Cricetulus griseus: one gene and its partner. The protein of the gene in region 1 interacts with the protein of each later gene in a pairwise test. Links are inferred from orthologs where the notes say so. Each region holds a gene or a part of one and is shown on either strand. Other genes may lie near its edges.

Region 1 (3,647 bases):
TTTGTTTTCTGAGACAGGGTCTCAAGTAGTGCAGGCTGGCCTCAAACTTACTACATAGTTAGGCTGGCCTGTTGATCTTCTACCTCTACCTCTCATTTGCTGGGATTAAAGACCACCTAAGACAGTGATCTTAACTATGTTGCCCAGATTGTGCTCCCTCCTCAGCCTTCCAAGTGGATGTACAGGCATTATTTGTTTTGTGCATGTGTACACACATGTTCACACACCTTTTTCTGTGGTGTTTAAACCCAGGGTCTTACATGTGCTAAGCAAGCACTCTACTGCTGAGCTGCTTGCAAACCCCTTAGTGGAACTTATAATAGTATGTGCTCTGGGATTTACAACTCATCTCATTTATCAAGTTCCTTTATTGTGAGGGGAGGAACACAAACAATAAGGAAATATATGTTTTGAAAGTTTGCAGATGATTATACTATACAGCTGTTACAAACTATGAATTCATCAAATGAAACCAAGTCTCTCTACCCTAAACCTAACTATATCTCCAAATAGCCAAGCAGTCCAATGACTTGGCTGTTTAACACAGTTCTCCACTCTGACCATTCTCCTCACCAGGTTGTTCCTGTTCTTGACTCCCAGATGCTCCCAGCTGCAAGTGATGCTTTCTCATGTGAACATTTCTGCTCCCACTCTGAGAAAAGGTCTTGCCACAGACTTGGCACTGATGAGGTTTCTCTCCTGCAAAAAGAACTATGTTAAGATAGGACAGCCCAAAATTTCTGATGGCCATCAAGTAGACAGAAGACTTAGGGCTCCTCTTTGGCACACAACCTCTGTACACAGGGAAGGCAGGACAGCCACCCCAGGAGGGCTTAGCACACACTTTGGCTCCAGTCCTACTTCTGGACCAAAGTCCTGCTAGCCTTCCAAACAGCCTCCTCGGTGTGGCACCATGGCACCTGCACAACATAATTATTTACTTTTTCAATAGTCTTCCCCCAAACATCAGAATTCATATCTACCTCAAGGTTCATTACAACCTTGGGTTCCTAAAATTGCACATTTGCCAACAACTCTTTTAACATAAATGACCTGAACTACAATGTCTGTTTTATAAGTCTCCAACAGTCTTCATTCACCTACCATGACAACCAGCCTCAGAACAAAGCTCAAAAGCTGATTTCCATGGACACTCATGTTCCCAGGGGCCAGGCAGGTGGATAAAGGAGTAAAATAGGGAATGCTTCCCCAGTACAAGGGCAGCTGCTATTCACTTCTGACCAGTGTTGCCATGTGTAGACAGAAGCCTTGTTCTGCCAGATTTTTTTTTTCTTGTAAGAAGGAGGATTTAAATAAAATCTTCCAACTTGCAAATACTGGGAACCAATTTACTGGTAAAAACATTAAGGTAGCAATTTTCTTTCTTCTTCATCTTTTTTTTTTTTTTCTCCTCAAGACAGGGTTTCTTTGTATTGTTTTGGAGGTTATCCTAGAATTCACTCTGTAGACCAGGCTGGCCTCGAACTCACAGAGGCCCACCTGCCTCTGCCTCCTGAGTGCTGGGATTAAAGGCATGTGCCACCAATGCCTGGCTAGGTAGCAATTTTCATTGCTGATGAGAATGCAAAAAAAAAAATGACATCCATGGTTGGTAATCTGACATTACCCAGACACAATACAGATGTTTTTATCCTTCATCTAGGAGTCCTACCTCTGTAAATCTGCCTTTAAGTTACAACAGGAAATAACCTACACAAAGGTTATTTATTGCAGCACAATTTTAAATGGCTAACAATTAGACAAACCCAAGTAAGTGTCTCACAGATTAAAGTTATGTGCCTATAATCCTTAGGAGACTAAAGGCAGGAGAGTTAAAAAAAAAAATGTTGAAAGCCAACATGGGCAAGTTCTAGGCCACTCTGAACTACAGCTGAAACCTCCATTTCTATTCTTTTATTTTCTTTTAGGTATATATTACAGACATCTCACTCTGTAGGCCCAGCTAATCTGGAACTCACTATACAGCCCAAGCTAGCTTCAAATTCATGGCACTCCTTTTCTATCAGCCTCTGGGTGCTATGCAATATACTACCAGGCTTTCCAAAAGCCTTATTTTAAAAAAGCCACAAACAGCTGAATGTGATGGTACATGCCTTTAATCCCAGAACCTGAGTGGTTCAGTGATTCAGTGAAGAGTGGAATTTATATTGATACCAGGTCAATATAGAGAGTGTCTCAAAAGGAAAACAAAACAAAACAAACATCTCCTGGAACTGGAGTTACAGGAGGGTTGAGACACCTGATGTGGTGCTGAAAACTGAACCTGGTCCTCTGGAAGGACAGCAGTAGTGCTCTCGTAACTCCTGGGACATCTCTCCAGCCCTCTGTTTGATGTCTGCCATTTTTACTTGGAACTTGTCATCATATAAAAACTGCTTAGAAGCTGGAGACAAAGCTCAACTGGTAAAATACTTGCCTAGCATGTACAAAGCCCACACTTGCAGTCCCAACACCTGGGAGGTGGAGGCAGGATGATCAGAAGGTCAGTATAATCCTGTGCTACCTAAGACCTGTCTCAACAAACGAAAAACAAAACATCTGCAGCACTGAGACTATGAAATTCCCATCCCTGACTGACTAGTCATCTCCATATCCCGAACTCTCACTGAAGTGCTTTATGGTCTTCATCAAAACCAGTCTTTCTGCCTCCACCTCCTCAGTGCGTTCTGTTTGGGGGAGTGGGAAAGGAGGGAAGAGAAATAAGTATCAATTTAGATTTTTCTATTTAGCCTACAAAGTCTGGCTGCTAAAGAATATTTTCAGAAAGTTTGAAAGACATTTTTGTCAGGGGAGATTGTCATCTGCATAGAATGAGCAAGTCAACACAATTGCATGGAATTTAATAATACAAAGCAAAAAGCAGATCACTAGGTCTTTTCTTCTACACTGCTGGCTGCCATGAAGCCCCAGTAGGCAAAGGCAGTTTCTGTTGGAACGGTGACTGAAGCAGGACCACCAGTGCCTTCTCAGAAGACAGGAATATCACAGCTCTTGCTACCACTGACATCAGTCTTCCCATTTTGCTCTGGATTTTCAAATCCTCCAAAGGAATGAAAATGTCAATACAGGTTCCATATCAAATTTAACATATAGGGCTGGAGAGATGGCTCAGTGGTTAAGAGCACAGACTGCTCTTCCAGAGGTCCTGAGTTCAATTCTCAGCAACCACATGGTGGCTCACAACATAAAGATCTGGTGCCCTCTTCTGGTGTGCAGATATACATGGAAGCAGAATGTTGTACACAAATAAACAAATATATATATATATATACACATATATATGTACATATATATATATACATATATATTTGTATTTATATAAAAAGACCAATAATAGCAGTATGTTATGCATCAATAGCAGCAACAGCTTTTCCAGGTTCTGCAGTCATTTGAACAAAATTGTAGAGACATCCAGCACACTCCACTTAAAAAAAAACAAAACAAAAAAACAAAAAGCAAAAAACAAAGTCCCAGAAAACAGCACAGTTCTGTTACTCTTGTGGTACCTGGCACCATTTTTTTTTTTTAATTAGCTTCTTAATTATCATCTGGAAGGAAACCATTCTGAGCAACATCATTAAAAACAGCTCTGATAAAGCACAGTCACTGGTATGTATCATAAAGCA
Region 2 (3,747 bases), on another chromosome or scaffold:
TGAGAGCAAGTGCTTCTAATAATTTATTTATTTTTATTTTATGTGCATTGTTGCATTGCTTCCATGTACGTCTGTGCGAGGGTGTCAGATCCCCTGCAGCTGGAGGAACAGACAGTTGTGAGCTGGATGCTGGAAATTGAACCCAGTCTCCAGGAAGAGCAGCCAGTGCTCTTAACCTCTGAGCCGTCTCTCCAGCCCTGAGCAAGTGCTTTTAACCAATAAGCACCTAAACATTCTACTCTACTCTTAGTAAATCATCAGGCTTTTTTTTTTTTTTTCTTCAGTGCTGTAATCAAACACAGGTGTTTAACATGACGGAATGCTAGGCAAGCACTCTTTCGCTGAACTGCATCTCCCCTGGCATCTTTAAGACTAGTTAAAGGCCAGCTGTGGAGCTTAGGGCTTTAATCCCAGCACTCTGAGGCAGAGGCAAGTGAATCTCTGTGAGCTCGAGGCCAGCCTGGTGTACAGAGGGAGTTCCAGGACAGCCAGGGCTACTCAGAGAAACCCTGTCTCAAAAAAATAAAATAAAAAAAAAAATCCCCTAATTCCAGTTACTTGAGGGGCTGAGGAAAGATGATTGCTTTGTATTCCAGGCTAAGTTGAGCAACTTGGTGAAACTGTCTCAGAAAAATACAAAACAAACAAACAAAAAATTTCGCCCTTTCTTCTTTTGAGACAGGATCTCACTCTGAAGCCCAGGCTGGCCTGGAACTCAGTCTGGCTTCAAACTCCCAGCAATGCCCCTGCTTCAGTCTTCCCACGCTGGGATTATGGTTTGTGAACAACCACACTCCGAAAGGAAACAGATTTTGAGGGCTTTAGCCTGTTGTCCAAAGTCACGCCGCTACTCCGGAGGCACTGATGTCCAGGATGTGACCCTCATGCCATTATTCCATGTCCACCTTACTCCCGTCTTTAATTAGAGCGGAGCCCGGCTGGAGACAACACTCTTAACACGGTAGCTCTCAAGAGGAAGGTCGATTTAATAAACCGCGTCCCTCTCCCAGAACTCATCCCTCTCTCCAAGCTCACAAAGTGATCCGCCTGAGCCTTAAAAAACCTCCGAAGCCCCTACCTGTCACCCCGCCCAGTAAGGAGAAATCGCTACTAGTTTCAGGGCTCCGGGAGAGCTCCCGGGCATGCGCTTTAAGGACCGCCTCCCCTCCCTTGGGGACGGCCCCCCCGCAGGCTCCGCCCACCCCCACCAATGAGAGCCGAGCCCTGGGCGGGAGGGCGGGGCCGCCACGCGAGTGGGCGGGAACTAAGGATTGTGGAGTGGCCGGAGTCGTGCGCCGGAGTCAGAGCAGCGTCTCCCGTCCCGGGCGCCGGCGGTTGCGGGAGCCGGGCGAGCCGAGCGATGCGCCTGCTGCCGCTTCCTGATTGGCTGCGTGTGGCTCCCTCTTCGTTCTGATTGGCCGCGAGTGATCTGGGTATGTAAATGAGGGGGCCCGGTGGTGGTGGGGGGGTGGGAGGAGAGAGGCGGGGGAGGGTGGGAGTACCGACGGCCCGAGGTGTTTTTAGCGTGTTCGATCCCCCGGTTGGGGAGATGTTCGCCGGGGTTGTCCGGGATCCGGGCGGGCGCCCGGGGCCTGAACGTGACGCCCGTCCGGGCCGGACTGAGTGAATCACGCCGGAGCCGGAGAAGGGGGCGGAGGCGCAGGCTCCCTGGCTCCGGCTGCGTGACTCACCCGCCCCGCCGCCGCCGCGCCGCCGCTGCCGCCGCTGCTGCGCTGCCGCCTTCCGGAAGCCAGGGAAGGCTCTGGGCGGCCCGCGGGGGTCGCGGCTCGCCGGGGCCCCGGGTCTGAGGGGCCGGAGTCCCCGGGGAAGCCCTGGCCGGGCTGCCGCTAGGGGGCGCCTGCGCCCGGGGGCGGAGTCGAGGCGGGGGCTGAATTCCTGCGGTTGCCTGCCGAGGGTCTGCGCGCAAAGGGCGAGCGGGAAGGGCGAGCCAAGACTCCGGGGTCTTGTTGGGGCTGTCTAGGCAGCGTCCCCAGGGCTGAGCCTCCCCCCCTTCCCCCCCGATCCTTTGTGTCCCCCCCCCCGCCCCCCGAGATGCCACTCCGGGGTCCCAGACTCCGGTCTCCTCGCCGCATGGAAGGAAGTGTGGATTTCTCCAAACTTGGGTACTCAGTGGCCGAGCCCCGCGGCCCCCCGGCTCTCCCCGCTAACTCCAGGGGCCGCCGCTTCCTTGTGCTTAGCAGCTCGGGCTCCCCCAAACTCCAGCCGTCAGTGCCCCGGCCGCCCCCACCCCGCTCACCCTCTCTCTCCCCGATGCTGCCCCACCGGCAGCCCGCCCGCCCGCCCCCGGCGTCAGCGAAACGTCGCCTTCGGCCCCCTGCTCGACCCTCCTGCCTCCCCGGAGGACTCTGTCCTGTCACTCTGAAAATCCAAGCCGCCTCCCCCCCCCCCGCCTGCTCCCCACCCCCACCGGGACTCCTACCGTGTCACTCTGTGCGCTTGCTCCTTGTGTGGGTTTTCTTTTTTCTTTTTTCTTTTTTTTCCCTTCCCCGGTTAAGATTTGCCTCTCTCGGTCTTCCATTGGCTCTTCCGGGAATGCCCGGCCCCTGGTTCTCCATAGCTGTCGTCTACACTGCCTACATCAGATCCGAAGTATCTCCTTTACAGAAACTGCCCAAAGTACCTCCTATCGCTATCTGTGCATTCCCTCTATTGGATTAAATAATGTTTGATGCCAAGCAGACATTCTATGCCTTGAACTGTACAAGTAGGCTGCATTTCCAGCCAAGAGGCGGCACCTACCTGTAATCCTAACCCTTGGGAGGCTGGGGCAGAAGGACTGCCTGGGATAGCCAGCCAGCCTGGACTAACTACAGTGTGAGGCCCTGTCACAAAACCTGGAGCAAAACCATCCAGGCACTGCCACACATCTTTAATCCCAGCACTCAGGAGGCAGAGGCAGGCAGATCTCTAGAGTTTTGAGGCCAGCCTGATCTATAGAGTGAGTTCCAGGACCGGCTCCAAAGCTACAGAGAAGCCCTGTCTCGAAAAACCAAAATAAATAAATAAATAAATAATAAAAAAGAGCAAAACCAAAAAGTACTTACAAATAAATACTAGTTATGGTTGTTAAGAGCTTGCTATTGCTAGTTCCAGGACAGCCTCCAAAGCCACAGAGAAACCCTGTCTCAAAACTGCACCCCACCCCCCCAAAAAAAGAGCTTGCTATTGCTACAGAGGACGCAAGAGATTCCCAGCACCCAAATGGAATGGCTTATAATTGCTGTAACTCCAGCTCCAGGGACTCCAACAGGTGGCTTCCTTGGGCATCTACACTCTCGTGCATATACACACACACACACCACAAAATTTAAAATAAAAGTAAAATTAGCCAGGCATTTGTAGCTCATGCCTTTAATCCCAGCACTCGGGAGGCAGAGGCAGGCGGATCTCTGAGTTCAAGGCCAGCCTGGTCTACAGAGTGAGTTCCAGGACAGGCTCCAAAGCAATACAGAGAAACCTTGTCTTGAAAAACCAGAAAATAAAAATAAAATAAAAGTAAAATTTGAAAGTTCTAAAGACCATGATGCAAGGGCTTTTTATTCTTTTGTTAATCTAATCCATATAGCAACTTACAATGTAGATGTTAGCTGTTTCTTAGAACTTTACTGAGCAGGCTCAGTTGGTGGAATGTTTGCTTTACATGCAGGAAGCCCTGAGTTCCATCCCCAGCATCCAGTATACCAAGCGTGGTGGCATACACCTGTAGTCCCAGCACGGGGGCTGTGG

The links.
Region 2: the proteins of Znf410 (region 1) and Sertad1 interact in binary tests that used the Homo sapiens proteins (3 or more experiments, as listed by UniProt). The two-hybrid records come from large-scale screens. The link is inferred for Cricetulus griseus from reciprocal best matches to the Homo sapiens genes ZNF410 and SERTAD1.

What each region holds. Positions count from the first base shown.
Region 1 is NC_048598.1:119,438,586-119,442,232, forward strand, and holds part of Znf410 (zinc finger protein 410), read right to left. Parts: intron 700-3,647; coding exon 574-699; intron 1-573. UniProt on the Homo sapiens protein: Transcription factor that binds to the sequence motif 5'-CATCCCATAATA-3', and is specifically required to silence expression of fetal hemoglobin in adult erythroid cells.
Region 2 is NC_048602.1:8,436,463-8,440,209, reverse strand, and holds the start of Sertad1 (SERTA domain-containing protein 1), read left to right. Parts: upstream 1-1,299; 5' UTR 1,300-1,433; intron 1,434-2,028; exon of another isoform or gene 2,029-2,123; intron 2,124-3,457; exon of another isoform or gene 3,458-3,747. UniProt on the Homo sapiens protein: Acts at E2F-responsive promoters as coregulator to integrate signals provided by PHD- and/or bromodomain-containing transcription factors. Stimulates E2F1/TFDP1 transcriptional activity.